Caenorhabditis elegans: one gene and its partners. The protein of the gene in region 1 interacts with the protein of each later gene in a pairwise test. Each region holds a gene or a part of one and is shown in the gene's direction. Other genes may lie near its edges. The genes, in order: nhr-273, dac-1, ceh-100 and rcat-1.

Evidence for each region.
Region 2: the proteins of nhr-273 (region 1) and dac-1 interact in a two-hybrid assay, tested with the Caenorhabditis elegans proteins (one large-scale study listed by BioGRID).
Region 3: the proteins of nhr-273 (region 1) and ceh-100 interact in a two-hybrid assay, tested with the Caenorhabditis elegans proteins (one large-scale study listed by BioGRID).
Region 4: the proteins of nhr-273 (region 1) and rcat-1 interact in a two-hybrid assay, tested with the Caenorhabditis elegans proteins (one large-scale study listed by BioGRID).

The regions. Positions count from the first base shown.
Region 1 is NC_003280.10:4,432,541-4,439,298, forward strand, and holds nhr-273 (Nuclear Hormone Receptor family), read left to right. Parts: upstream 1-2,759; 5' UTR 2,760-2,838; coding exon 2,839-2,930; intron 2,931-2,974; coding exon 2,975-3,060; intron 3,061-3,298; coding exon 3,299-3,696; intron 3,697-3,741; coding exon 3,742-3,926; intron 3,927-4,021; coding exon 4,022-4,397; 3' UTR 4,398-4,458; downstream 4,459-6,758. Other genes in the region: nhr-109 (NR LBD domain-containing protein), read left to right, coding at 863-954, 995-1,080, 1,313-1,680, 1,999-2,183, 2,235-2,607; Nuclear hormone receptor family member nhr-16, read left to right, coding at 6,372-6,466, 6,516-6,601.
Region 2 is NC_003281.10:813,146-823,537, forward strand, and holds dac-1 (Dachshund homolog dac-1), read left to right. Parts: upstream 1-2,999; 5' UTR 3,000-3,125; coding exon 3,126-3,174; intron 3,175-4,324; exon of another isoform or gene 4,325-4,416; intron 4,417-5,193; coding exon 5,194-5,471; intron 5,472-5,524; coding exon 5,525-5,626; intron 5,627-5,832; coding exon 5,833-5,939; intron 5,940-7,207; coding exon 7,208-7,293; intron 7,294-7,335; coding exon 7,336-7,450; intron 7,451-7,496; coding exon 7,497-7,617; intron 7,618-7,666; coding exon 7,667-7,859; intron 7,860-7,903; exon of another isoform or gene 7,904-7,924; intron 7,925-8,283; coding exon 8,284-8,495; 3' UTR 8,496-8,585; downstream 8,586-10,392. Other genes in the region: Dauer larva development regulatory growth factor daf-7, read left to right, coding at 1-130; clec-149 (C-type lectin domain-containing protein), read left to right, coding at 10,077-10,189. UniProt on the Caenorhabditis elegans protein: Transcription factor. Plays a role in the thermotactic response.
Region 3 is NC_003280.10:12,598,958-12,606,575, reverse strand, and holds the start of ceh-100 (Homeobox domain-containing protein), read left to right. Parts: upstream 1-2,895; coding exon 2,896-3,147; intron 3,148-4,285; coding exon 4,286-4,477; intron 4,478-5,611; coding exon 5,612-5,785; intron 5,786-7,618. Other genes in the region: lips-15 (LIPaSe related), read right to left, coding at 1-364, 413-600.
Region 4 is NC_003282.8:251,362-258,276, reverse strand, and holds rcat-1 (C2H2-type domain-containing protein), read left to right. Parts: upstream 1-2,847; 5' UTR 2,848-2,850; coding exon 2,851-3,105; intron 3,106-3,158; coding exon 3,159-3,388; intron 3,389-3,437; coding exon 3,438-3,648; intron 3,649-3,691; coding exon 3,692-3,862; intron 3,863-3,912; coding exon 3,913-4,133; intron 4,134-4,181; coding exon 4,182-4,383; intron 4,384-4,432; coding exon 4,433-4,582; 3' UTR 4,583-4,658; downstream 4,659-6,915. Other genes in the region: dpy-9 (Nematode cuticle collagen N-terminal domain-containing protein), read left to right, coding at 613-774; R02D3.8 (Exonuclease domain-containing protein), read left to right, coding at 1,088-1,136, 1,191-1,292, 1,345-1,574, 1,619-1,791, 1,927-2,032, 2,080-2,220; grl-19 (Ground-like domain-containing protein), read left to right, coding at 5,743-5,891, 5,937-6,075, 6,122-6,307; aass-1 (Saccharopine dehydrogenase), read right to left, coding at 6,559-6,794, 6,903-6,915.

The DNA.
Region 1 (6,758 bases):
GTCTTTTTTTCTAGCTGTTTTGGTTTTTAAAATTTTTTTAAATTTTGATGTTTCAATAAAAATCAATTATAAGAAATTGGCATCTTACGAGGATTTGAAAAAATCCATATTATTCATTAGTGGGCAGCCTTGCCCTAGTAGGATAAGAATAATTCTAATATATGTAGGCAAAAATAGATGGATTTTCCAAACTTTGAAAATTCATAAATCTCTTCAAAGTAACTTTTTTTGAACAGTCTTTCAGAAACTTTGTAGTAATTTTTAAGCTCTTTCAGAATATACCAACAATATTCTAGTAGGTACAAGATGCTTCACGTAGTTACAGAAATAGTACATTTTCAGCCCTACCTTTTAGTGCGTATTTTATTATTTAATGAAAACTACCATTTATAGACAAAAATAGATGGATTTTCGAAATTTTGAAAATTCATAAATCTCTTGTAAATAATTTTTTTTGAAATGTCTTTCAGAAACTTTGTAGTAATGTAAGGATTGAAATTTTTGAATAAATTATGAGTTTTATACAACTGTGTGTATATAAAAGGGGGAAAACTTGAAAATTATATATCCTACTTTTCAAAACAAATTTTAAAAAAAACTGAATAAATTAATTTGACAAATTTATAACCAACTGACCAAAAAATTATTTGGAACAATTTTCTGGAAAAAAGCTTTCGAAGAAGTTAATAAATTTTCAAATCCAATTTTACCGGAAGTGTAAAATTTCTCTATTAATTTTTTTGTTTTCCACCTCTCTCTTGGGCAACTACAAGAACTACATACACTCTCTCATTATCATTCTTATCATCAATTCCTCTTTTCTCTATTTCTTTTTCTCATCCATTTTCTCCAATTTCCCGTGATGGGGCCTCGATCAAAAGGGGAAAATCAATCGAAATGTTCGATTTGTCAAGAATCTGGAGATGGTTTTCACTTTGGAGCAGAAGCTTGCAGGTAAAATTTAAATTGTATACAAGACATCGCACAATTTCAGAGCATGTGCTGCATTCTTCCGGAGAAGTATTTCAGAAAATAAATTATATACATGTAGCGGAAATAACGATTGTGATGTTACTGTTAGTGAGTAAAAATTAATTGACCTGTTTTGAGCCAAAATTTTGGACTATGTTATAAACTCAAAGGCATTCTGTAAAAAAAAACTTCAAAAAAATAAAACATTTTCACTAAGGTCGGGCTTACAAGCCTACATAAGGCTCAGTCTAAGCCTCTAAGCCTAGGCCTAAGCCAGGCAGACAGGCAAGTCGGCTTGTTCTCTAAGCCCAATTGAAATTATCTATCTTGATTTGTTTAGACATCAGATGCATGTGCCGGGCATGTCGACTTACCAAATGTATCGAAGTTGGAATGAACCCTGTAGGAGTTCGGCAGAAGCCTGGTAGTTTCCGGAAATCAAAGGAACTCATCTCTCCCAGTTCATCAAATCATGACGAGTTCAGTCGAATGCCAATACTTTCAAAAATGAAATTGAACTATGAAAATATGAGAAATGCCAGGAAAGCATTGCACAATGAAGTTGGAGAAAATGTATTTGAGGAGAAGATTCCAAAAGAAATAAATTATAAAGAATCAGTTCAGCAGGGAATGAAGGATTATACGCTGATGCCTGAATGGGTGTCCTCTTGTTTTGATGAGTTTCGAACGTTATCCGCTGATCAGAAAGTGAGTCGGAAAACTTAAATGGCTATTTTAACACATCAAATGTTTCCCTATACCTTGAGGCAAAAGGTAGCCATGTAGGTAGGCGAAAGGTGCGTAGGTAGGCCCTCAGAAATGTGGCAGACATGTAGGTAGGACATTTGCTAAGGCATGCAGCAGATCTAAATATAGCGGTGCCTTACAGCCGTACCTACCTGCTTGTCTACCTATTTCATATGCCTACGTAAAATGTCAAAACATTTTTGAGCAAATTGAACAATAATGAGGCTAAAACTAGACATGTTAAAAATACTTCTATTTTTGAATTTTCCTTTTTTGCAGAATATCTTGTTCCGCAACTCCTACATTCCATTTTTCATGATGGAAACTGCATTTTTAAGTCATATCAACAATATGCCGGACTCTGTCATTTTCCCATCTGGAGACTATTGTGACATGAAAAACTTGGAGCGATACTATAATTCTACAAATTTTGAAAAAAAAATCAGCACGGAAGATATTGAAAAGTATTAGAAAAGAGATGGTTAAACTTAACGTTTTTTTTTTCAAATTTTCAGCTTGTTCAAGCCGTTCTACGACAATTACAAGAGATCTTTGCTCCTCCCAATGATGAATCTTCAAGTTGACATCTATGAATTTCTCACACTTTTTACACTTCTCCACTGGGATACTGGCCTTGTTGAGATCACCGATGAATGTCTGGAAATTGGCACAAAAGTCAAAGCAGAAGTATTCAAGGAGCTGGATTTCTATTTGACAAATGTGAAGAAAGTCGCAGAGCCATCAGTTAGAATAGGGACAATTGTCAACTTACTTCCAGCAGTTCATAAAAGCGTACGGAGAATACAGGATGACATGGAGATGACTAAAGTCTTTAATATTTTTTCGGCGCCCAATGAGTTTTTTGATCTTGTTACTGGCAATTTCTGAGAATAAAAGAAACAAAATTCTTGTTTTATTTGTTTTACTAATTCAACTTACAAAGGAATACGTTTCAAATGAATGCAATATTGCCTCGTAATTTTTTTCTTTTCCGCCTCTCACTATTTATCAACAGAAAACCATATTTTATCTTTCTATCTCCATTATCAATCATTATTCTGCACTTTGTGTGTTCATAAACTATTGATTAATTTAAAAGAAAAAAATTAAATTGCTAGAATGGGACCACGACAAAAAGATAAGGATCAATCGAAATGCTCAATTTGCCGAGAACCTGGAGATGGGTTCCACTTTGGAGCAGAAGCTTGCAGGTACTTATTTATTTATAGGTCAGACTTTAAAACCTAGATTTCAGAGCTTGCGCAGCATTTTTCCGTCGAAGTGTGTCCCAGAGTAAAACATATTTGTGTCAAGGGAATAACGATTGCGATGTTACTGTTAGTGAGTATTTTTAAACTTCTGTAAATATTAACATTTAATTTTTAAAGTACAAAAAATAACATATTAATCAATTCCTTACACAGGCATGTTGTACCTTTGTAAAAGCAAAAGAAAATGTAACATATTTTTTGGGAAAAAAGGGACCGCCTGAAAAAAATCACGGTCGTTTTTTTGAAGTTGTTTGGACCAAACTTTGGATTAGTTTAATTATTAAAAATTTAATATAAATAAAATTCAGATATTCGATGTATGTGCCGTGCGTGCCGTTATGTCAAATGCATTGAGGTTGGAATGAATCCTGTCGGAGTTCAACAGAAACCAAGACTACCCAAAAACCGCAAAGAAGTTTCAATTGATTTACTCTCGAGCCCCCGAACGTCCAACTCATTGATGCTCGAACTACCACTTACGGGTCAAATGCCAATTCTCTCAAAAATCCGAGCAAGTTACCAAACAATGTGCAATGCTCGGATAGCGCTTCACAAGGCTGAAGATAAAACTGTATTTGAAAAGAGAACTCCAAAGGCAGTAAATTACAAAGAAGCGGTGAAGCAGGGTATGAAGGATGTCACGTTGGCTTCTGATTGGGTCTCATGGAGCTTTGATGAATTTTCCAACTTGCCGATTGATCAGAAGGTAGGTTTTTAGGTTTTAGCAGTTAAAGTGGATTGTTTTTTTCAGAGAATTTTGTTCCACAACTCGTACACCGCATTTTTCATTATGGAAAGTGGATTTTCGAGTCATTTGAACAATACACCGGATGCAATAACATTCCCATCTGGGGACTATATTGACACAAATGATTTGAATTCATTTTACAATGGTACAGATTCTGATAAGCAAATTTCCAGTGAAGATATTAATAGGTGAGTAGGAAAAAACTCGATCTGGAATATGTCGTTAGAATATTCCAACTATTCCTGAAAAAATCAGTTATGTACAACAAATCTAAAAAATTTAGACTCTTCAAGCCATCCTATGAGCGCTTCAAAAAGTCAGTGATCTTGCCAATGATGACTCTTCAAATGGATATAATAGAATATCTTGCTCTCTTCACAATGTTACTTTGGGATACTGGACTTATCGAATTGAGCGATGAATGCATTAAAATTGGCGATAAGATCAAAACTCAAGTATTGAAAGAACTCGATTTTTATATGAGGAATGTAAAAAAAGTCGAAGAGCCTCTTGTGAGAATTGGAACTCTTGTGAATATTCTACCAGATGTGCATAAAAGTGTTCGTAGGATACAGGATGATTTGGAAATGACAAAAGTTTTCAACTTGTATGCGCCGTCCGATGAATTTTATGATCTCGTGATGGGAAATTATAATTGATATCATATTTTAAGTTTTAACTAATTTTTACTCATTTTACGATAAATGTATAATATATTGACAATCTGCTTAAAAGACGGCCTACGCCTACCTGAAGGAGTGCCTAAAGCCAAAATAGACGTGAAAATTTGTTTCAACTCACTTTAGTGTACTTTGCTTCTGAGTACAGAAAATAGATGGTAGGTAGGTAGAAGGTAGGCATATATATAGTCAGATTTTACCAATTCTCCATTGACATTGAATGTATTTAAATCGAGCTGAAAATCGAAAATTTGAAAAAATTCTCTGAAAAAATGAGAGTATAGGGAAAGATGTTCAGTGGACCAAATAACCGCTTAAACTCGCTAAACTGAGTATCTTCAAACTGGCGTATCTCAAAAAAAAGAAATATTTTTTATTTTTATTACATTAATTATTATTTGAATACACCAACTATTTGTTGAGTTACACAGAGTCAAAGCCATTTTTCCAAAATTCACAAAAAATTTTGAGAACTCTTTTATTGTATCCTTTATAACTCAACATTCATTGAATTTCAAAAGATAAATTTTGTTAAATAGTAAATGAAAAATATTTTTCCACATTTTATCAGTTTTGTTTTTTGATATTTTTATGTATTGTCAAGTTACAGACCGTTTTTCAAAAAAATCAAATTTCCGCCATAAAACTCTTCATATACAACGTATCGGCTTGAAATTTTGAGAAATGATCATTTTTTTGAGGTCTCTACAATGTCCTAAAAAATCTTTCAAAAAACACTGTCCATCTCCAAAATCGTCCTTTGCTCCGAAAAATGAAATGGGACTTTTGCTTTTCGAAAAATGGGCCAAAAAATCAAATTGCGATTTTTGAGTCGAAAAAAATATTTTTAGAATGCTGAGAACACGCTATTTACGAATTTCATGTTCATTTTAGGTGAATTCTTGTTTAAAATGACCTAAAAATTAAACAAAAAGAACATAATTTTAATTCTCACGTGAAATATTTTTATTTACAATAAAACAATTGAAGCACTGAGCAAGTTACCAAAAATTTTTACGTGAGAATTAAAATTATGTTCTTTTTGTTTAATTTTTAGGTCATTTTAAAGAAGAATTCACCTAAAATGAATATGAAATTCGTAAATAGCGTGTTCTCAGCATTCTAAAAATATTTTTTTCGACCCAAAAATCGCAATTTGATTTTTTCGCCCATTTTTCGAAAAGCAAAAGTCCCATTTCTTATTTTGGAGCAGAGGACGATTTTGGAGATGGGCAGGATTTTTTGAAAGATTTTTTAGGACATTGTAGAGACCTCAAAAAAGTGAGCATTTTTCAAAATTTCAAGTCGATACGTTATATATGAAGATTTTTATGGCGGAAAATGGATTTTTTCAGAAAACGGTCTATAACTTGGCGGAACATGAAAATATCAAAAAACTTAAAACTGATAAAATGTGGAAAACATTTTTTCACTCACTATTTAACAAAATTTATCTTTTGAAATGCAATGAATGTTGAGTTATAAAGGGTACAACAAAAGAGTTCTCAAAATTTTCTATGAATTTTGGAAAAATGGCTTTGACTCTGTGTAACTCAACAAAAAATTGGTGTGTTGACATACAAATTATTGAATTAAAAAGAAAAAATATTTCTGATCATTTTGTTGATTGGACATTTGTTTTCCAGATGTGTATTTTTCAAGATACGCCAGTTTGAAAATACTCAGTTTAGAGAGTTTTGGAAGTTATTTCATTTTTAGATCGAAAGCCGCCATCAACTCCAGTGCATCCTTGTCTGACACGTGTGATACTACGGCTGTACTATCCAACTGTACTATCAATTTTCCCTATGTTTTAGTTTGTAGTCAATGTGGTCTAGTTTTTCCTTGTCTCTATTTCTCTTGTCTCCACCTCTGTCTATTTCTCCATACTCTGACTTTTATCAGTTTTCTTTTTTTTCCATTTGATAAATTATTATCGATTTCTACAAAAAAATGGGTGGACCTCGATTTAAAGACAAGGTATTTTTAAAATGTGCAATATGTCAAGAAAGTGCAGAAGGATTTCACTTTGGAGCAGAAGCTTGCAGGTAATTTTTAACAACAATCATTAATTAAAATTAAACAAAGTTGTTTCAGAGCCTGCGCCGCTTTCTTCCGTCGAACTGTTTCAAACAGGAAAACATATTCCTGCCAGGGAAATAATGATTGTGATGTTACAATTAGTAAGTTCATGAAGTGGCACACAGGCACGTCTTGTGCCTCTGTGCCTATTTTGCACCTGAACACCTACATGCTTACCTACCGCCTGCTTTGTGTGTTTGCTGCAATTCTTTTTTCCAAATTAATGCCTTAAATGTTCAACTAGAAATGTGAGGAAGA
Region 2 (10,392 bases), on another chromosome or scaffold:
TCCTGAGATCGGATACTGCTGCCATCCAACCGAGTACGACTACATCAAGCTGATCTATGTCAACCGCGACGGACGCGTCTCAATCGCCAATGTCAACGGAATGATCGCCAAGAAATGCGGTTGCTCATAAATTCCACTTCCGATTGTCACAAATGTTAAGTAGTCACCGATTTGTTTCTTCTTAATGAATCAAAATTCATGATTTCAACCCCGTAGTCACATATCCTCTCCTTAGTTGTAGATCCTTCCCTCCATCCCGTTCATCCTCAAATCACGAGGAGCTTCTCTTCTGTCGGTCTCCTTTCCCTCGATCTCATCCCAGAATGCTCGCCGAAATAATTATTTCCGAATCGTGTGTTCACCATTCACCATCCATCTGATATATCCTTTGTCAGCTCTCTCTTTTCGTACCTCGGATCCTTCCACTACCTCCTTCGACAAATGTTGTTCCCCTCCCGAAAGCAACAATGTGATAGGCAACGACTCCTTCTCCCATTTTTATGTGTGTCTGTGCGTGCGTAGTTGTGTTTTCTGAGATTCAATTTCAACAAACCACGCACTTTTTCATCATCATTGACAAGAATATGTTATAAAACACTGTGATTGAGGAATAAATTATTGAGTGCTGTTACACATTTTCTTTAGAGTTTTAAACTCTAAAAATGGCCACCAGAGGCGCCTCGAGCTTAATTTTTTACTTAAAAATTAAGAAAAAATGGGCAAAATACTTGCAAAAAACGTTCTGCAGCATTTTATATAGTTTTCTGAGAAATTGCTTGAACGGTAACAATGAGCTTTAAAGTTCTCATATTTACCACGGTTGTACGATTTAACAAAAATCTCCATACACTTGGTGTCAGGTCTGGACAGTTCTGTTGCCACTTTGCTAAACAAGACAACTGTTTTCATTGAATTTCATTCCTACAAATACGACAGTAAAGTTTATATTTCCCTGTTCTCTAGAACATGACATTAGAAACCATTCCCAACAATCGTTTGAAAAAGTTGCATTAGCAAGGAGAAGAATTTAATGTAAAGAGACAAGTAGATAAGGATCTTAAGTTGTTCGTTTAGTTCGTTTTTTCGGTGAATGATAGAATGAATACAAAAAGGTATTGAACTGTTCCGAAAAACTATTAGGAACTTCCCGAAATTAAGTTTTGAAAATAATCACAACTGATTTAACCATTTGGATTATCCAGTTGTTGAACCACATAATCACTTTTCTACTTGAAATCGTTGCCATGTTGCAAATCTAGATTGAGATTTAAATCTTCATTGGCTCCAGATTCTTGCCTCAAAAGATGTTTTGGAGAATGTTTGGTTCTTACCAAAAATTTTTGATTATGTACTAAAATGTAAAAAATGATTTTGATTTCCTATGATTTCCTATGACCTTTCAGTGTTTATTCTCAATTCGGATTGTTTAGCAAAAAAAAATTAGTTCCGGACAAGTCTGACACAAAACAATTTTATCACTGATCTGAAATTTGTCTCAACTTCTAATTGTAAGAAAAAGCTTGTGCGGTACATATTTGACTCCTGAGTAATATGGTTATACAGTTTTTGTTACTATCTTCCGAAAAACATCCCCCGCCGCACTATACATTCGGATACATGCGGCGACTTCATGAAAGCCCTAGTCTAATTGCGTTTTAATAAGAATTTATCCGGATGATCACTGTTTTATAAAGATTGCCAACTAAATTGATATTTTTTATAATTTTCACAAATAAGCGTACTGTATCAGCTCTAATTTGCCTCAAGAACTTGCACCACTATAAAAAATGAATTTCTCATGCGTCTAGAGCTCAAATTACGTTTCACTCATTCAGCCATGATTATATCAATGCAGATGTAGGCTACACGTTTAGTAGCTTCAGAGCAGCAGCAAGTCTATAAATACCCAAAAAAAATTGGAAAGCCTCTGAATCATTGTGTGTGTGTGAGTGAGCAAAAGTTCAGCTACAAAAATGGATTTTGATCTCTTGTTTTATGGCTTCAATTATCAACATTTTCAAATTTTAAATTATTTTTTCCCGAAATTTAAATTTTTCTGACTTTGAATTTTTGACTTTTTGGCGATTAAATGAAGCCATTTTTCGAAATATTTTTTTCTTGGCGAGAGAAAATAATTATATAGAGGAATGGTATAAAAAGTTCCAAATTTAAAGGGGGAGCTGGATGTTTTTCAAGAGAAAAGAGTACAGTAAGATTTTAATGAAAAATTTCTTTTCAGCTGGAGAAACTTAAAATTTTCTAAAAAACGGCACATTGCCGGAATTGAAAATTCCCGGCAAATCGGCAAATTGATTTTTGGAAATTTCTGAATTTCTACTTCAATTGGCAAAATTGAACGCGTCCTACAAATGTTCCTACATCTATTTTGAAAAGTAAGCAAATTCTATGAAAATATTGAAGAAAACGGGAAAAAATTTCAAAAAGGCAATCAAGTGTTTCCGTCTTATAAAAATTCCTCTAAACATTTCCGGCAAAGCTGATATTCGACGAAAGGCAATTTGGGAATACGCCAAAAATGAAAATTTCCGATAAATCGGCGAACCGCCAATTTGCCGATTTGCCGGATTTGTTGACAAAAAAATTGTCGAACGGCAATTGCCACCCACCGCCCACTGGCACTAATTTCAAATACTTTTCATAGCAAAATCCACCACAGGGACATTTCATAGTCAAAACAATAATTAAAATTAAAATTAAATGTTTTTTTTAAATTTTACTCTGACTGAAATTGATGACGAGAAGGTAAATATTCAAATTTCTCGTATAAGACAAACTTCTCCACAAAATCTATTTTCAGGTTACAAATCAATTAGAAAAAAATCCATTCATGCCGATTTTCTCATTCCTTTCCTCCTTTTTCTTTTCCTCCTTCATTCAATAGCAATAGCAATAAACTAAGTTTGTCTCAAGGTGGAATGTCCTGTAATGTAATGAACAGAAGAACTCCTATTCAGTTCTTCGTCTTCGTCTTCACCTGTCTTCAAGATCCTAATCTGCGAAATGATGGCAACCACATTTCACCATTCAGTTGCGAATTTCTTTCATCTGAATGTGAAGAGTTTCGTGTGTCTTCTTGAACCATTCGAATGAATTCGCTGGCAGCAATGCAGGAACTCAGCCAACTTGGCGGATATTTTCAAAAACTTGCTGCAGGTATTTGAAAATTTCAAACCGTTAAAAAATGAGCCCTTTTGATTCCGTGACAATTTCTGACGTTTTAAGCTAGACTTTTTTGAAAGAAATTTTTTTAAATAAACTTTAGAATATCTAACTGATTCTGACTCCAATTCAAAATAAAGAAGAGAGATTTTTCTTTGATATAGAACTACATTTTTCGCGTCAAAAAGTTTTTGACTTTTTTTTCTCGTTTTAAGAAACTTGTTATAACCTGAAACATGAATTTGAGTAGCGGACGCCTTGGGACGATCTTTTAAAACATACTAATTTTCTAATTTTCTTTGTGGATTATGTAAGTAAGCGTTGTAGAGTAAGTTACTCCTTTAAAGTAACAAACTATTGTATTATCTCAATAGTCTTGCAGCATCTATTGCTCTCACACCGCATTAGAGCATACAAGTCATTCGAAAATCATTTTTACGTGCAAGGAGATACTGTGCAATTCTTTCCGGCAAGTCGGCAAATTGCCGGAATTGAAATTTCCGGCAAATCGGTAAATTGCCGGGATTGAAAATTTCCGGCAAATCGTGCAAACCGGCTATTTTCCGATTTGCCGAATTTTTCCGAAAAAACGGCAATTGCCGTAAATGTTCGGCAAATTATAGCTTTGCACATTGTTTTTGGAAGTTGCCGGAATTGAAAATTAAAAAACAAAAAAATTTGCCGAACGGCACTTGCTGCTCTCCCCTGATACGTATGTATATCAATTTTTCATTGCTCTCTAAAAAGTGATGTCATTTTCTTGAAGATATTTTTCCCAGAAAGCTCGGAATCAATAATCGAAGCTGACTTTAAACTTAATTTCAAATGAAATTGTGACGTAGAAATTCTGGAACAATAGGGTTGATCACCATTACGAAATAGACTAGGTATGTCATCAATAAGTACGTCAGTTCTTTTTTTGCCTATTTATTCCCCACATGAGCGTCATCTAATACATGCTTACTCTATCAAAAACGAAAAATCGGTAAATATTTATGTGTAGGAGCACTTAGAAATATTAGAAAATCACCCGTACATTACCTGTGTGAGGATTTTCGGATGGTAATCCGGATTTGTCGGTGGGATAACGGGGTTGTGCCAGAGAAAAATGAGGATACCTTATTTTCGCGCTCACTTCAATTCCTATTCCATTTCACATCAACATCAAACATACAAATTCTACCTATTGCTTACAACTATTATCAGTATTTGATTATATGGATATCGATGAAAGAGGTTGATGTACACATGGTCTAATAACGCATGTTGTTTCAGATTTGAGAGTTGTAGTGATAGTTTAAGCGGCGAAACTAAACTTATCGCCATTTTTTTGGAATTTTTTTGAAAAACAATTTCAATGTTTTAGAGGTGTTTACTATATTAGGCAGATAAGCAATTCGGTTAGTTAAAAATTTTTTGGTAGGATTGAGTGAAAACTCTTAAAATTGCCGAAAAAGTAGTATTTGGGTTATTAAGATGCATCAACAGCGATTAGAGCTTGCAGAATATTTGAAGATGGAGTAGCACCAGTGGGGGAAGTGTTAAAAAGTACTCATAGGTGCCAAAATGACAGAATATCATAATAAAAAAAAAACTTTTCAAAAATTTTTTGAAATTTTTTTATTTACTGTCAAAAAGTGACAATTACTCAGTTTTTGCCACTCATAATTTTGGAAGTCGACCAAAAAATTTTTTTTCCTACTTTTTTATACTGCAATTTTGTTTTTATTATTTTTATTAAAACATTGTAGGGGTCGGAACATGCGACATTGCTTTGGATCTCCTTAAAAGCTCTTTTTTTTTTTGGCACTTTGCAAAAATTTGTCCGGAAATTATAAAAAATCTAAAACTTTTTGGAATGTATTATTATTATATTAAGTCGTTCTGGATCATTATAAATGTATTTAGACAAAATCCCCAATGGCGCTACTTCACCTTTAAGCTGAGCCATAAAATGTAGTATGCCAAGCGTTTCCAAAAAGAACAGAAAGAGTGTAAAATTAAAAATTCCAGGCGGATTCGTGATCAACCCATCTTCTTCTTCTTCCTCATCGAACAATTCCTCATCTAACACTTCTTCGTCCAATTTTCTATCTCCATATGAGTATCAAGAATCCTCGACCTCACCACGTGACACTACAGATTCATCTGGTGAATCCTCGTTGTCCTCTTCTGGCTCTTCATCTTCACTGAATGGTTCTTGTAATGTTGCAGCCAAGTTGATCAAGTTCCGCGGGCATAACGTCGCCGCTTTTGACATAAACGGCAAAGAAATGATTTGTTTGCCTCAGGTATGAGCTTTTTTTGTGAAAACGAAATAGTCTAGAAGACATGAGAAGTTTAGGTGTACGAGGTATTTCTCAAAAATATGGTAGGAGGACTTCATACGGTATACACTAAACTCAAACGGTTGTACATTCATCCGATGGTTTGCAATGTAGAACAGGTAAAAATTCTTGTCCACTAACAAATTTTAGAATAATTTGAAAATTCACCTGACTGACAATATTCTAAACCAATTAAATAACCCGTAAAAGAATCTGATGTTTAATCTCTTTTTTAAAGAAAATAAAAATCTCTCATAATCCGCATGCAAATACGGATATTTTATCGTTATCCTTCTATAAAATCTCCACCATCCACGACTTTTAGGTGCGCGCCCTTCGATCACTTGGAGCTATCCAGCCGGGTGTCAACCGATGTAAACTACTCAAGACTTCGGATTTCGAGAAACTCTATGACGATTGTACAAGCACTTGGTGGGCGTTTTTACTTTTTGGGATCATCAGGTGATGAAAGTGTCATATTTCCAAAGTAGCATCAAACTTGGCTTGGAAATTTTGATTTCTGATAACTCTGTCAAGTCAGGCGAATGCTATTACGCTATTACTATGCGCTTAGCTTCATAAGATAGAGGTTTTTTCACTTCCTATTTTCCAAGCTACAGAAGAAACTACGACAAGTTATTTTACTTTGAAAAAAATGGATTTTCCAGTTGGTAGAAGATTGGTTTTTTATGAAGAGTATGATATGGAGAGTTTTAAACCTCCTACCGAAGAAACAACTTCTGACAGGTGATTTCTAAGGTGTTTCACGAGAATTGTTTCCTTATCACTTACATTAGGGATCCCAGCTGAAATGCGGGCCTCACGTCGACGCCGCTGTGTGTGCACAACGGTGTGCGAAAAGCTAATTATTTGGAAGCGGCCGACACATTCGGGGTTCAGCGCGGCACTATACATTCGGATAAATGAGGCGTGATTGACGCCGTGAGGCTGGCGCAGGCGACGTGGCGGCGACCTCATGGGAGCCAGAGGTGGGCAGATATTTTTTCGGATATTTTCTAATAATGAATTTATCAATTAATATTGATGTAGTTATTCTGGAAGAAATGTATCCGAACCAAAGAGTGGGGGGGGGGGGGGGGCCTATTAAGCAACATTTTAATATGATAAAACCTAGAAAAATTCTACAAGTTTTCCTTACCGAGACCTTAAAACTTATTAGCCGAGCAACATCGGATATCGGATATTACGGATATCGGATAATGGACTTGCATATCGTTTATACAGAAAACTTGTAGAATTTTCCTAGGTTTTATCATATTAAAATGTTGCTTAATAGTTACTCTTTTGTTCGGATACATTTCTTCCAGAATAACTACATCAATACTTATTGATAAATTCATTATTAGAAAATATCCGAAAAAAATATCCGCCCACCTCTGATGGGAGCCCTATTGCAAAAAGCGTCCCTCCTGGATGAAGATTTACCAAGGTTAACCCGGTTTTCGTAGAAGTTTAGCATAAAGGATCAAACTTTAAATGATTGACTGCTACTGTTGAGTACGTAGTTTTGGGAAAAAATAGCTCTAGTAAATATATTAGCAAATCATTAGAGCATTAGTTCAGAGATTCAATAGGCACTAATAGTTGAAATTAATGTCCCGAAAACATTGCTCCTGAATTTCAAAAAAATCATTAAATTTAAGAAGTACATCTAAATATTACTAATCCTTCGCTTTCAGTACCCGCCCTGGGCGCCCATCAAAAAGAAGCTTTGATGATTGGAATAACGGCGCAGTAATAATTAAGAAAGATAAAACGGATTCAGGTAAACTTTTCACAGATATACTCGATTAATTCAATTTTTTAGAGCCTGTGAATGGGCCCGTATTCAACCAACTAATGCAACCGCAAATGACGCCTCAACAAATTTTGATGCAACACTTTGTTGCGCTTTCTCAGAAGACGAAAAATAGTTTTGAGAGGTTAGTCGAGTCATTTTCTATTGTTCATAACTTCAGCAATGTTTAGAGCAGATGATGATGATCAAAATCAGAGAGACGCTGATGATATAACGCCATTGAATCTAAGTAAAAGTGGAGGAAATTCTGAGAATGACTCAGATTCTTTAGAAAATATGAGAAAAGAAGATGTGAGGCACACATTTATAGTTTGTTTGCATCCAACCTTAAACATTTTAGTCCTCACCAAACACGTCTGTTAGTGATCGTGGTGGCTCCAACTCAAATTCATTGTCAATGTCAATGGAGGCTGGGAGTAGTAGTAGTAGTGGCAAAAACGATGAAGCTTCTATGATGAATAAAGTAATGTCCTTAATTGAACTTGCTAGCCAACAGTTCAAGCATGAAAGAGAAGAGCTATGGAAAGAGCGAAGTGAGTTTTGGACTATATTCTTCTTGAATAACACATGGTTCATTGCAAGGGTCCTACATTTCCAAACATTTTAAAACTATTCTTGTCACTTATTTCTCAAGACCTGATAACTGTAAAGTATTTTTACTAATCCTACTTTTTTGATCTCCAATGCCTTCCATGACTAATCGTGAATAAGGTTTCAGACAAATCTCTCTTTTTCTGAAATTCCACTCTTTTGAAATGTATTTCAAGTCTAATCCGGTATTTTACTTATTAAGGGAAGCCAAATGAAACCAATATTATTTTGAAACATTTTAATGAATGATATCAGTTTTTTCTTACAATAAGTGAATATGTTTTGAACGGATAGGGCGAATTTTTGATTGATATAACAACAAAAAAAAACTACGTAGCAAAAATAATTCAAAAAATAAGTTTTCAGGCGAAATACAAGTTCTTCGAGAGAGTTTTCACAAGATTGTGCAAGAAGAACGCGATTTGCGCAAAAAGCTCGAAACTCAGAACAAGAAATGCACGGCTTTCGAAAAACGCTACAAATATGTCAAAAAACAACTATTGCTGGCGAATGCGGACCTGAGAAGATATAAGGAAAAGGAGGAGCAGTCTTCGGACGGAAATTCTGTGGAACTTTGAAGCTTTTTTTTTGAAATCAATTCAATTTTTTTCAGAATTACGAACTAAGTATTTTTGTGTAGAAAAAAGCACTAAATAAACTGTCATATGAAATTGCGATTTTGTTGACAAAAAATGGAAGACAATAGAAATTACATTTTCGCGTATTCCGATTCTTTCATCTTCCGATTCCAACCGTTTTTCGTAAGACTCCCATGAGGTCGCCGCAACGGCACCCGCGCCAGCCTGAATTTTTTAAGCATATTTTTCAACAACCAGGAGGATTTTTTCAGCAACCAGGAGGACTCCACAGTGGTAAACTTCTTTCGAGATTTTTAAAAGATCCAGAAATCAAAATTTTGATTTTTTGCGGGCATGAGATGATGGATTATCCTCCCCCAGCCTCCCCACATATTGAATGATCGGAATCTGCGGGGCGCTTCACTGACTGACACAGGAAATAATTCATCATATTTGTTGTGTTGGGATAAGCATTGACAAGATGGATCACAAGTGGCGAACTTTGGTTTTTTAAGACGGCTGATGGGATATCTAGAGTGCGTCGGAAAGTTAACAGTGTATGTTTGACTATTGTTGCTCCCCTGCAACAATAACACTGATTTTCCGCACTTTCAGAATGAATCTGGTCAAAATTTGAATGCATCAAAATTCGACTATTACTGATTACCTCTAAAGTGTTAAAATTCGTTGAATTTTTTTCTGAAAACCAAATATGATTTATTTTGACTACTTGAAAGCGATAAGAATTGGCTTGTGTAATTCGTATATGAACCTTGTTGTGAAAAAATTCCAGATAAAAACTGAAATGGACCTCTCTAAGTACTCGTTAGCTATATCAGAAAGGATCGGAAACTTTTCAAATCAACAAAATTTGTTTCGATCACAACGTGTCTTGTGCACAAAGTCCAACAGGATTGCTTGACCACAACAATATCGTTTTTTTTTCATTATTTTTCCACCAGAAAGATATCAAAAAGCGTGATGGAAAAAAGAAATGCCAACTGTTTTATATCTTCCCAAATTTTCCCCTTCTCTCAATCCACACTTCTCTTTTCTCCTGGATCCATCATTTGCTCAAAGTTTTCCTTTCCATTTGCTCCGGGTGTCCTCATGTCCCATTGACCTGATTTATGGGAGAAATGGAAGAGGGCTTGTTTCTTTATGATACCCAATAAACTTTCTACCCAATGTGTACTTTTTGTTTCTTGTCTCTAAGATGCTTTTACGCACAGCAACTGCCATTTTCTTTTTGTGTTTTAGATTTTTTAAAATTAAGTATTTATTTTAAAACGGTAGGAAGCAAAATTTTAAGCGGCATAACACAAATTGTTTTAACATTTTTTCATAGTATCTTTGCACTAATTTCAAGATTCTTATGCACCAAAAACATTTAGACTTTCGATTTCTAAAAAGTGCTCACAAGTAGGTTGACAATCTAAAACTCTTTTCAAAAACCTGTTTTTTAAAATTTCCTTGGATATTGAATGTCTTCAAAACTTCGAAAGTAGTGCTAAATTGCACTGAAACATTTTTAGGTCGAAAAGTTGAAATGTGGCATTATTTTATATATTGAAATTTCAGATGACAGCTTCACTAATTTTATTACCGGTATTACTAAACATACTCTATCAACCAGCAGGATCATCTCTGCCTACCTTTTCCCCGGGAAACAAGCACCTCTGCGAGGGCTTTGGGTGAGTTGTATTCATTTTTAAAAAGTGTTTCACAAAAACCAGGGCTCCCAACTGAGTGAGGCGCGAAATGCGGGCCTCACGCCGACACGTGTGCTATGTGGCGATAGGTCGCAACAGGTCGACCTAGCCTATCTTTGAGCAACTTCAATGAATAAAGTGTCTACCTCGAAAGAAAATTTGAGTAAATGGATCATGCTAATGTA
Region 3 (7,618 bases), 8.2 Mb from region 1:
ATTAGCACCAGCCACAGAAATATAGGTTTCTATGATACTAGTCAGTGGAGCTCCCAATTGAACAGTATTCTCAGCGCATTTTCCACCAAGGATGGCTTTTCTGGCAATTGGGGATCCCATGGAGTAACCAATGACATTTACTTTTTGCTGAGTGAAGGCGTTCACAGCAATGATCATATTTCTGATCTGTTGCACATATTCACAAAGCATTTTTACATTTGTAGCCGTAGTAACTCCTGCGTCACCGTATGTGGTAGCATATACAGTCTCCTCTGACCATCCATTTGCTCTGAAGTATGCTGCTTGCGGAGCAAAGGTACCAGCGCTGTTGGTAGTTCCATGAACTAGGATGACAGGTGTTCGGCTTAACAATATCAGAATATCTATAGTTATTCATGGAAAATTAACTTACGTAGTGGGACTGAGACCATCATGAAGTCCCCCTCCATAACTTCCAGCTGCTCCAAGATCAGTTCTAGCCAGTGCATTCAAGGTTGCTGACCCATAAGTTGTTTGAATGAATGCACGGAAACTTGGGGAAAAATCCGCGGTGGCGGTGCTCAGGAGAGCAGCGACTAGAAGGACAGTGGAGACAGCCATGATGGAGTGAAGATTGTGGAGTTAGGGGTTCTCTTTTATACGGGGAAGTACCTAGTTTATCGTTTTTGAAATTATGTTCCGTTTTTCGTGAGATTAGCATAAAATTGGAATAAATTTTAACAAAGTCTAGGATTATGTTCTGAAATGTTTTAGAGGAAGTCTGAGGTTCACATAGCCATTTTTCCGTGAATATAGTGTCAAATAGTTCATTCAATTCTATGATCAGAAAGAAAAATCTACGATTAGGCTTGCCTGAACTCAGGAATCTTAATTGCAGTCAGAAGTTGTATCCTTCCATCTATTGTACCGGGAAATCCTATTGTATCCTATTAATATATTGCAACAAGAACATTTTTTATTGTATATTCTGTAAAAATTACATCCATATAAGAAATAAGTCTGCGGAATAATTGATGGAATGATGTGTTGTGTCTGGAACGTCAAAAAACTGTTTAACGTCTGTCTCACAGTTTTTCGTCAAATGAAATCACTGTATCGCTACTTCAGGTACTGAGCAATTTTTTTTTAACTTTTAAGGTACCTATCATGATTGAATTAGTATCAAGGTGTCAAACTCTCCTCGAGACAGGGAGTATTTTAATCGGTCTCGGATTACGAAAATATTTTTAACGAGCTTAAACTAAATTTCTTCAGAGATCACGTCTTAAAATGTTTTGGGAAACAAGACGCGTTGCCTGTCAAGCTCAATGTTCAGGCTTGGAACTGACGGCAGTTGCCGGAATCACCATCGTCAATTCTTGGATTAGTGCACTATTTTGGAGTGTCCAGACTCATCGGTATCTTCGAAGATCTCAAAGGTTTATTTATTCAACTTTGTTCTAGTCTGTTTTCTCTCCCAAATAATCCTATTAAACGGTATATTTAACAGACATGAATAATCGCATTTCCGAATAAGTGTTGTTTCAAATGATTTATTCAATTCAAAGATCAAAAAGAGTGATTTCTGAGTAGTCACCTGGTTCTGGCCTTCCTCATTGAATTTCTCGCGCTCCATTGACAATCGCCCGCCGGACAACGCGTACTCCACACGGACAAATACATTTAGTTTTACAACTAAGATCGAGCCGCGACGCGACACGCAACGCGCCGTAAAACTACCACAGATATGGCTGAGCCAAAATGGCCTAGTTCGGCAAACTCTTCCATTTCAATTTCTGAGCGAAGCCAGAAATCCGTGAGTAGTCTTGCCTTTAACACGATGAGGAAAGACAACTGGAATGTTAATAATTATGTGAAAAAATACGATTAACGAACGCAAAAACTTACGATTTGTGCGCCAAAAGTACGGTATCAGGTCTCGACACGACACAATCTTTGTCAAATGCAAAAATGGTGTGCGCCTTTAATTTCAAGGACATTCGAAATCGGGAAATGTAAAAAGAAGGGGGAAGACACACAATGGGAAATGCCACTCTTCGGCCGCTTCGCTTCTCCCGTTTTCTTTTCCCTCTCTCTCATTTCCACACATTTCGGGTGGAAATTTTCGTGCGCTCTCTTTTTACATCTCACGATGCAGTTTCTCATGATTTTATGATTCCATTGGTATTTCAGAAGTTTAAATTTCCGCGCAAGTCTCTATGGAAATCGCGCTCCATTGAGAATTGAGAAACGTAGATTTTCCGGTTTTCTGAATTGAAATTCAAATAAAAAGAAGGAAAATTATTGAATTTAATTGTTAGTTTTCCAAAAAATATTTTTTCAAGCATTTTTACCCTCAAAATCCAGGGTTTTCCTTAATTTCCATAGAATTCCTTAAAAAATCTGAATCTCCACTCGAGACCCATTGCATCATACCAGTGATGCGCCTTTAAAGTACTGTAGGCATCTAAATTGTTCTTTTTTTGCAAAATTTTGGGAATTATTTATCAGTTTTCGTTCAAATTTATCGATTTTTAGTCATTTTTTCAGATTAAAAATGTTGAAAAATAAATTAAATTCGATTTTTTCACTAATTTAAACAATTTTTCTGCGAGAAAACGATTACAATTTCCAATTTTCATTGGTCTTCGCGTTCCCTGTTCACAGAGACGCAGAGAGACGGCAAATGATATAGTACAGAGACCGCGGAGACGGAGAGAGTGAGAGGAAATTTTGCGTATTCCATTTGAACGGTTTATCGATTATTTTTACGTAGATTTTTGGATTTTTTTGAGTTTTTGTGGAATTCTGTGTGAAAAATTGCGAAATAAATTATATTCAAAACGATTTTTCGCGGTTTTTTCGAATTTGAAACTCAAATTTCCTGAATTTTCTTGAATTTTCCACAAATTTCAGATGTTTCACAATCGTCCCAGCACTTCGGGACCACCCCCACAAAAACGAAAATATGTGAGAAAACAGCTTCCACAACCACCGCAATTCGTGTCCTCGGCCGTCACTTCTGGACCGATGCATCATCGAATGCATGAGCAACACCAGCAGCTCGACGATGAACGAGAATTTCTACGCGATCATCTTGCACGAAATGATCCGTTTTTTCCGAGAGAACTGGAGCCGCAGCAGGACGTCGTCGAGCAGCAGCTACAAGTGGGGGATTTGGGGAACTTGGAAAAATGGAAATACTGAAAAAATCGGAAAATTTGGCCCAAAAATTGGCAGATTTTGGGGATTTTGTGGAATTTGTGGAATTCCACGCAATAAATATATTTTAAAAATATTTAAATTCTGAATTTTCTCGCTCGAAAATTGATTTTTTTGAGTTATAAACGACAAAAATCAATTTTTCGTCGATTTTTTTCAAATTTTATCTGAAAAAACAAAGATTTTTAGACCACGATTTTCTTCAATTTCACATATTTTTAGTTTAAAAAATTCTCCAACGAAAAAAATTCAAATAGTGCGTTTTTTCTGGATTTTTCATGAAAATTTAATTTGAAAAATCGCGAAAAATCAAAAAATTGGCCTACAAATCGATAAATTAACATTTTTGCGAAAAAAAAAATGCCTGAAATTTGGCAAAATCAGAGAAAAACATTGAAAAATGCTTTTAAAAAAAGGTATTTTATAGGTAATTTCGGTCCGTTTTCCACTTTTTAACACAAAATTATCAATTTTAAGCCAATTTTCCCAAATTTTCCATCAAAAAAAAATCACTTCTAACCCTTCAAAAAGTTCCAGGACGCTGATTGATAAATTCCCTGGTTTTTCTGGATTTTTCTTCAAAATTTAATTTGAAAAATCATAAAATTGGCCTAAAAATCGATAAATTAACATTTTTACAGCAAAAAAATAACCAAAATACCTGAAATTTGACAGAAAATGTCAGAAAAAAGAGTTAAAAAATTGAAAATTCTTGAAATTTAGTCGGAAAATTCGATAAAAAACCTCCTTTTTTTGCAAAATTTTCAAGAAAAAAAACTTAAAAAATTAGAAAAAAAAGTATTTTATAAGTCATTTCAGTCCGTTTAAGCCAATTTTCCCAGATTTTCTTTTAAAAAAATTATAAAATTAGCTTAAAAATCGATAAATTAACATTTTTGCAGCAAAAAAAAACAAAATGCCTGAAATTTGACAGAAAATGTCAGAAAAAAGAGCAAAAAAATTAAAAAATCTTGAAATTTAGTCGGAAAACTCGGTTTCGGTCCGTTTTCCACATTTTAACCCAAAATTATCGATTCTAAGCCAAATTTTCCACCACAAAAATCACTTCTAACCCTCCAAAAAGTTCCAGGACGCTGATTGGACCCCGTCCCCGGCAAAGAAAAAAGGAGCTCGTGCTGGAATTCCAATTGGATCACATCCACCATGGCCAGAATATATTACTCGTGTGCTTGACGACGTTTTCATCAATTGTCAATTTATTAATGAGGAAACGAAAAAGGAATTGGCCAAGGAACTCGATTTGACCACCACGCAGGTGTGCTGGAAATTGGAAAATTTGGAGAAAATCCGATAAAAATGAAGAAAACCCCGATTTTTTGAAGAAACAACCGGCAAATTTTTGATAAAATTCTGAGAAAAACCGAGTTTTTTCCTACAAAATTTCCAACTTTTTTCACTGAAAACGTTCAATTTTCTCATTTTTCAGCGCCAAAACGGCTTTCTAAATAGTTATTTTCTCATCGAAAAGCCCTCAAAAAATATGAAAAATTCACAAAAAATCACGATTTTGTATGAAATTTCGAGTTTTTTAGTCCAAAAACGTAAAATTTCCAGATTTTCACCTAAAATTTCTATTTTTCACGAAAAATGTTCAATTTTCACATTTTTTCTCATTAAAAATCCCTAAAAAACCTGAAAAATTTACAGAAAATCACGATTTTCTATGAAATTTCGAGATTTTTAGTCCAAAAAATGTAGAATTTCCAACTTTTTCCACTGAAAACGTTCAATTTTCTCATTTTTCAGCGCCAAAATGCCCTTCTAAAGGGTTTTTCTCATCGAAAAACCCTAAAAATCTGAAAAATTCACAGAAAATGTTGAATTTCACTGAAATTTCGAGATTTTTAATCCAAAAAACGTAGAATTTCCAGATTTTCACCCAAAATTTCCAAATTTTTTCACGAGAAACGTTCAATTTTTACATTTTTTCATGTTTTTCTCATCGATAAGCCCTGAAAAATTCACAGAAAATGTTGAATTTTACTGACATTTCACGATTTTTAGTCCAAAAAACGTAAAATTTCCAGATTTTCACCCAAAATTTCTATTTTTTCACGAAAAATGTTCAATTTTCACATTTTTTCATGTTTTTCTCATCGATAAGCCCTAAAAATCTGAAAAATTCACAGAAAATGTTGAATTTCACTGAAATTTCGAGTTTTTTAATCCAAAAAATGTAGAATTTCCAGATTTTCACCCAAAATTTCCAATTTTTTCCACGAAAAATGTTCAATTTTCACATTTTTCTCATTAAAAAGCCCTAAAAAATCTGAAAAATTCACAAAAAAAAATTACGATTTTCTATGAAATTTCGAGATTTTCACTCCAAAAAACGCCGCCGAATTTCCAGATTTTCACCCAAAATTTCTAATTTTTTTCTAATTTTCAGGTGAAAGATTGGTTCAACAGACGTCGCCGACATGCACTTGAAGCTCATCAAAAGAACAGTGTCGAACTTCCAGAACAAATGAGAATTCTCAATGAAGCTTACGAAAGAAATCCAATTTTGGATACTGATACAAAGAATCGACTTTTGGATGTTACCAAGTTGTCGGCTAATTTGGTACAAATTTTTATTGGAATTAACTATACAAATGGATAGAAAATTGATTTTTTCAGTGAAAAACTGAATCTTTTAGTAAAAAATCGATTTTTTCAGGAAAAAACCGGCTTTTCAGTAAAAAAAAACGTAGTTTTCTGGTAACAACCTTTTTTTTCAATTAAAAAAATCCGTTTTTTCTACTTTTTTGCATTAAAAAACTGAATTTTCCAGTAAAAACTGATTTTTAGAAGTGAGAAACGCAGATTTTTCTAATGGAAATTGATTTTTTTTTTGTAGAAAAAAGCAAAGTTGTGCATTAAAAATCGATTTTGTCAAGTTTTTTTTGATGTAAAACGCAGATTTTTCAGTTGAAAACAGATTTTTCTAGTAAAAAAAGAAGATTTTTTCAATATAAACTTTTTTCCGGTAAAAACAGTGTTTTTTCAGTAAAAACTGTTTTTTTTTCAGCTAAAACTGATTTTTTCCATTAAAAACGAGATTTTTTTCTCAAAAAATTGCCCAAATGTTCAAAAAATTGATATTACCAGTACAGAGAGTGTAGATAGTTAGAGAGTGACAGACATCCGGGACCCAATGGGGCGGGGCGCGCGGAAGAGACGGTTTTTTGTCGATTTACGAAATGATGACAACGAGGAGAACTTCGTAAATCGACACAAATCGTCTCTTCCGCGCGCCCCACCCCATTGGGTCCCGGATGTCTGTCACTCTCTAACTATCTACACTCTCTGTACCGGTAATATTTTCGCTCTGAAAATGCTGAAAACTGTTCGAAATTTTCTATAAACTTGGAAAACGCTAAAAATGTTTAAAATATAATTTTTATACTAAAAAAGCCACAGAAAATCTAATTTTCACTCGTTTAAAACTCAATTTCCCCCCGAAAAAACTCAAAAAATAAGCCAAAATATTACAAAATGAATATTTCCCCAAAAAAAAATTTGAAAATTGTACCAAATGCTCTATAAACCTTTAAATTCGTTTCAAAAAAGTATAAAAATGCAATTTTTACACCAAAAAAAAGCCATGGAAAATCGAATTTTCACTCAATTAAAGGTGGTGTAGTCGAATTTTTAAAAATTGCTTTATTAGACTCAAAATTGTCTGATAACACCGAATTTCATAATGAAAATTGTTGAAAACTTCTCAAAAAAAAGTTATGACGGCTCGAAAAATGGCCTAAAATTAGTTAAAATTTGAAATTTGACTTGTCAGCGCTGTCAGCTGGAAACTAATTTTTTTGAAATCACCGTCAAATTTTGAGTATACAGTTTTTTTTCTTGCGTTTTTAACTCGATTTAGGTATTTTAAAGTCGATGGACGGCGAGATTTTTAATTAAAAAAAAAAAAAAAAACCAAATCCCGCCGTCGTAATCTACTTTAAAATACCTAAATCGAGTTGAAAACGCAAGATAATAACATTACTCAAAATACTCAAAATATTTGACGGTGATTTCAAAAAATTTAGTTTCCAACTGACAGCGCTGACAAGTCAAATTTCAAATTTTAACTAATTTTAGGCCATTTTTCGAGCCGTCATAACTTTTGTTTGAGAAGTTTTCAACAATTTTCATTATGAAATTCGGTGTTTTCAGACAATTTTGAGTCTAGTAAAGCAATTTTTTAAACAATTCGACTACATCCACCTTTAATTGAGTGAAAATTCGATTTTCCATGGCTTTTTTTGGTATAGAAATTAAATTTTTATAATCTTTTTAATTAATTTAAAGTAATTTTAATATTCGAAAATTTTCAATATTTTTTTTGGCAAAATGTCAATTTGTGTACTATTTAGACAATTTTTTGAGATTTTCAGGAGAAAATTGGTTTTAATCG
Region 4 (6,915 bases), on another chromosome or scaffold:
ATGAAAGAATATAGCACGTATGTCTCCTTTGTAGTTTGTAGTCTGGATTTTGAAAAATGTTGTGTCTTTGCCTTTTGAAGGGATATTGGTTTGGAGTTAGTAGAAGGATATGGTCACGGTACCGTAGTAGTACTGTAGGGATACTGTAGGAGTACTGCAGGATTACTGTGGTTTGGGAAAATTCAATTTTCGTCTTTTGAAAGGATATTGGTTTGGAGTTAGGAAGGGGATAAAGTCAGGGTACTGTAAGATTACTGTAGGTGTACCGTAGAGTTATTCGGCAGGAATTTAAATGTTCTTAGAAAACGGCAATTCAAATTTAGTGAGAAAAATTTTGGCGAGAATTCACTATTTCTGAGAAAAAAAATTTTGGCGGGAAGTTCAATTTTTCTAGAATAACTGGAAGCTCCTAGAAATTCTAAAAAAATCTGGAGACTTCAATTACTTTTTTTTTAAGTCCTAGAATATTCTATTAAAAATCAAAACTCATATAACTTTCTTAAAAAATCTGGAAGCTTCTAGAACTTTTGAAACATTTGAAAACTTTTAGATTTAGTATTAATACATTTGTTATTGAACCAATCATGTGTTTAACGGAAACAATAATTTCAGGGAGAACCAGGAAATCCAGGAACGTGTCATCACTGCCAAAACAGAGCACCAGCACCTTCCGAGGCACCAGGAAAAGCTCCACCTCCTCCACAAGACTATACCCGTCCAGCACCAGAGTCGTATCCATCGGCTCCAAATGGGCAATATCTTTGGATCCATTAAATATTTTGCATAATTTTTGACTCATTGTTTCTCTTTTCGTCTTATTTTTCGCCGAATGATTCGAATGTGAGACTTGAAATATCATAAATCTTGTCAGGCAGCTGTGCCGAAAAAATTGTTTTTTAATCTACGAAAATATCGAAATTGTTTCCCGTAAATCGACAAGGGGCTGAGGTTTCTAGACCACACGGCCGTGTACTCCTCTCGGACAATGGATTAATTTTATCTGCTATAATTTTATTTTTCGATTTTCACACGTTTTCCAGTCAAATTTCGTAATATTTCATAATTTTTTATCATTTAAGACTCGAAAATGTCGATAAACTTCACGAGGACACCAAGATTATTACTTGACACAGTAGGTAATTCCATTTTTCTAGTTTTTTTCGAATTTAAATAATTAAAGTTAATTTCAGCCCATTACTCATCATTCTTGGAAAGCACAAAGCTTGTAAAGACTCGGGAAGTGAAGAAACCACCCAGATATCCAAACTTTTCACTGAAAAAAGATACGAAAAGTGGGGAGATTGCTTACTTTTTGGCAAAATAACTTTATTTTAATCTTTTCAGATCAAAAAATGAGCCAGCACTTTGATTATCTTCTAGTATTAGACTTCGAAGCCACGTGTCAAGATAACTGGAAAGGGCCGATGCATCCAGTCCAAGAAATCATCGAATTCCCAGTGGTCCAGCTCTCGACGGCTGATTGGAGTGAAATTCGTCGTTTTCATCAATACGTTAAGCCGACGGAATGTCCAAGGCTCACATCTTTCTGCACATCTTTAACAGGAATTATTCAGGTTTTTAATGCAAAAATTTCGAGGAAAAAATGCTAAAATTCCAGGAAATGGTTGACGAAAAACCGACGCTTCCACAAGTTTTATCGGAATTTGATAGCTGGCTGAAAGAGGATTCTCGACTGGAAAAGGGCAAATTTGCATTCGTCACTTGTGGAGATTGGGATCTGAAAGTCGCGCTGCCGAATGAGGCGAAATTTAAGAATATTGGAATTCCAGAGTAAATTTTTTAGAGTAAAACTGACAATTTGAGGCTGAAAATTCGTACAATTTGACTCTAAAAATCTGAAATTTCATTAAAAAACAATCATTTTTGTCCCACGAACCGCACAAATCCAAACAAATTGTCCTTCAGGTACTTCAATCAATGGATCAACGTGAAAAAGGCTTCTGCGGAGCACACAAATCATTTCGCGAAAGGAATAGCCCAGCTTCTGGCCATCTACAAGCTGCAACATCAGGTTTTCTACTGAAATTCTGAAATCTCAGCAAAATTCTAATTTTCCAGGGTCGCCACCACAGTGGAATTGATGACGTGGCAAATATCTGCGAAATTGTCCGGTGTTTGGGCATGAACGGGCACAACTATCAAATCACAGGCTCCAAAGACACAATGACGCGGAGGGTGTTCAGAGATGCGAGGAAATAATTTTTGTCGATTTTTCAGCAATATGTATTAATACGAAATATTGACTTTTCCGCCATTTTTCCGTTCAGAACAATAAATCTTTGCAAAAAATATAGCGAGAATATCGAATTGCAAGTACAGTTTCACGTATACGTTTCTAGAAATTAGATTTTTTTGGAAGTTTTAATCTGTCAATTCTCTCCGCCATGAGGAAGTCTACACACTGAAGAAGTTTCGCCACTTTCTTCCCTTTTAAATTGATTTTTTAACCGCTTGAAAATATTCATAAAAAGTTTTCTCTCTCGGTCCAATCTGAAAAAAAATTGCAACTTCAGTTGTATTTAATAAAGCTTTATAAGACACAAAAAATATTATTTCAAACATCGCGCTTAAAGTTCTCTGCAATGGAGCGGACTTGCAGACACGCAACGCGAACACGCGACGCGTCGAAGTGACAGGATTTACGAGCGTAAATCCTACCAATCGTTTTAATTTTCTATTTTCCTCTGATTTTTGTCAATTTTCCATAAACTTTTAGAATTTAACGCAAAAAAATTCACAAAAGTGAATGCCAATTTTTCTGGAACTGATAATCCTTGAAAACACGTATTTTTCACTTCCGGATATAGAAATGTTTGAAAATTGCAGGAAATGACCACAAATCCTATCGAACTCGAGTCCTGCATTATTGATCAGATACGATGCCCAGAATGCGCCCTAACATGTCTACAAAAGAATATCTATCGTCACATGACACAGATTCATAATTGGACAACTGAAGATTGTCAGGAACTGATTGCCGCTATAAAATCTGAAAAAAAGAGCCGAGCATCTAGCACATCGTTTGTTTGCTGCCACTGTAGGATGATATTTCGAAGTGTCAAGCATCTGGTTCAGCATAAAAAGGTAATACAACCCTATTCTTCTGGAAAACTAAATATAAAAATTGGATCTTGCAGATGTGCACTGAACAACCGCAACATGACAACGAGCATCTTGATGTTTATATAGATGAAATGATTGTTGAAGGAGAAGAAGAAGTTGTTGGAATCAATGAATATGATATCAATGAAACTAAAGAATCTACACAAAAACCATCCACATCATCTGGAGATAGTTTCGAGATGAATATTCCGCCACATCGACAAGCTTCTCGTCCAATCCAGCCACATCATTTAACGCAGGAATGGTTGGAATTAGAAAAAATAAAGGTTTCTGTCAAAAACTATGATTTTCAGCCAAATTGCCACCATTATTGAAAAACCTTCAAAATTCTCGTTAATGCAACTACCAGGAAAATATCGTGGATGTAATTTAAAATGTCCCGAATGTTCGAGTACATCAGAGTCGTTGGATGAATTTTTACTGCATTGCCGTCAAGAACACATGTCCCATGATCAGAAGTTTAATTTAGAACGAGAGTTTTTCCAATCAAGAGACCAGTTTAAGGTTTTTAAATATTCTCGATAAAATGACAAAAATCTAATTTTAGGAATGGTTCGATCAGAGACAGGAGGACACATGTACATCGTTGACAAAACGTACAGGACATGCTGGAGAAACACTTTATAGGTGTCATCGTGTCGGAAAGTATCAAAGTGTCGCAAAATCCAGGAAATCGAATCCCAGGAAGATTGACCAGACTTGTACAGCATATTTGAAAGTAAAACATTTTTTAAAAAATTTGTTTTAAAATTTTGAAAAATATTTCAGGTCACAACAGAAGAGGACGGTTCAACTTGGGCAACTGGATGCTTTACTCATATCGGACATGATCTTGATCACAAACTTCTATGGCTCACCGAATCTCAGGAAAAATATGTTCGTGAGCTAATTGACTTGGGATGGACTTCTGATCAGATCTTCTTCTTTATTCGGAATGAGTACAAGGACTACGAGTGTAAATTAAAATATATCTCAAAGAATGATATTAGGTGAGGGTAATCATCCGAAACAGTAGGCAAATATAATGTTTTTTGCAGAAATATCACAGTTCGGTACAATAGAGAACGGGAGAAGCTTGGTTTTTTAACGGACACTGCAAAATCTTCTGCGATTCCGATTAGTTTGAAAGAGCGGCGAGCCGTTGCTGCAGATAGTACGAAAGAACCGAGAGAAGAAGATGATGATGAGGTTAAGGCGAAAATTCCAAGGATGCAAAGCAAACCTGATAACATTGAAAAGGTTTACAGACGGTTAAATTGTTCTGAAAACTCAAAAATTGAATTTTCAGGCAACTACTTCAGAAAATAATTCTGCAAAACATCGCGAACAAGTTGTGGATTCAGAAACTGCGGAAGAAGATGAATATATCAACGTAGTTGATGTGGATACGATGCCACCAAACGATGCTGGAAAAATCACAATTGGCTTAAATTTTTAGTCGATTTAATACATTTTTGCGATATTAAATATGTTGTTCTTGTTATTTATTCATATCATGAAAGTTTATTAGATAATTCAAATCGAAAAAGAGTTATATCTCAAATGCCTGACAATAAACGCTGTATGCTGATGGCTGAAAAAAATTTGGGCAAAAATAAAAAGTTGTCTGGTTTTGTTGAAAACGGGTAATTCATGTATGCTGAATTCAGAAAATCTAGGTTTAACACATCAAAAACTATTCAAAAGTGGCAAAAATGCACAATTTTGAAACTCCTCTAAAATGGGCAATTTTGTAGTTAGAGGACTCAAAATTGATCTCCCAATACTAAAAAGTTTCCCTTTTTCAAATTCTAATGGTTCTGTACAATTTCAAAAAAAAAAATTTCTTGCCCAAAAAAAGGGCAGTCATATATTATTTGAATATTGTCCAAATTTGTTGAAAACGGGTAATTCATTTATGCAGCGTTCAGAAAATCTAGGTTAAACCTATCAAAACCATTAAAAACTGGCAAAAATTGGGCAATTTATTGTAAAAAATCACTCTATTGAAACTCCTCTAACCGGCGGCAGCCGATGTCGAAAAATACAAAACACCTGTCGAAAAATGTAGAAAAATATATTTTGTATTTTTCAATATCACATGAATAACCCCATTACTTTTTATGTAACTGATATGTCATGTTAGCAGACCTGTAGCATTGTATAATCGGATATTTTAAAAGGTTGACATTACATTTTGCTCCTTACAAAATATGGAATAAAATATGTGTTGTTAGCATAATTTTGAATGTTCAAATCTGATTTTATAAGCGCAAACTACTGTCCGCATGATTATGGGTCACACTGTATCTGGAAAATGTGCAAATATTATAAAACAATTGTTAATTTATCTTAAAAATATGCGGTTATAATGCGTGTGTGTTACTCGATGTGAACCAGTATCCAGTATCTTAACATGGAATAATCGCAAGTGTCAATTGACGGCTTATGCCAGTTTTATCGTATGTTCCTTTTTCCACAAATCTTTATCTTGTAGCAAATTGTGATAAGAAACTATTAGGCGATCAAGTAACTCAAACAAGAAAAACGAGTATAACACCAGGCTATGAGACATATATAATCTTTTTGAATCCAGCAATAGAACATCAAAAGTACCCAATGTTTCTCAAGTTACTTTTATTTTTATCTATATGCCACGTTGCATTCGCATTTTTCTTTCCAAGAGTCACACCTAATGATGGATGTGGTTGTGGATGTGGAGGAGGTGGAGGTGGAGGAGGTTGTTGTGCACCACCACCACCACCGCCGTAAGTTTCAATATATTAAATTAAACTTAAGTACAAGATTTTCAGAGTGTGTGGCGGTTGTGGCTGCGGAGGCCGTAAAAAGAGAGAAATCGGACATGTCAAAGGACACTTGGCACATAGAGATAATGATCAGGAATGGAATAATCAATGCAACAGCTTAGAGTTTTCGGATGTAATAGTAAAGGTAGTTTTGAAACATAAACAGTTAATTGCAACTACCACTTTTTCAGCATCTCCGAACGAAATCATTGTCGACATCTCGAGATTTCATTTACAAAGAACTTGACACAGCATTCCCAGACTCAATGTTCACTGTATTTTGTCTCCAAAACTCTACTGTTTCATATCAAGCAGATGCGAAGAGATACTGTATGGAGAAGACAGCTGACAGGAGTTGTTACGTTTTTGAATTTTAATTCAGTTGATTCATATGCCCCAATAATAATGTATATTCTAATATATGAAGTCAAAAATTTTATTCGGTCGACTTGATGGAAGCACCCGCGATGGGGTTTGGTGAAAAGTGAATATATTCACTTTTCATATATGAGAGAGGAAATATTCGATAAAACATTAAAAAAACGGGTGAAACTAGTCAGTACTCAGTACTATACTACAAAAATTGAAATAAATCGAAATAACATGGTAATAGAATATGGATAACAAGCTACATTGGGGTAATTGTGTGTGTTGGCACAATTCCAAAGTCACGAAGACGCTTCAATGCTGGACGGTAGACTTCCTTCAGAATTGGTCGTTGAATTCCTGCTCTTTGAATTTCATTGTTTAGAACCATGTGTGAGACGATGGCAGTTGTGTAACCAACAGTACGAGCCATAGCGGAGAAACCATTTGGATTGCCGTATTGAACCAAACTGATACGATGACGTTCAGAGTTTCCACCTGAAAAAAGATTCAATAGGATACACGAAAAAAAAATTTAATTTTGATTTAATGAAAAATTAATTAATGCGTATTAATCCTGACAAGTTTTCGAAATATATGTCTCACCTGGCAACTGAGC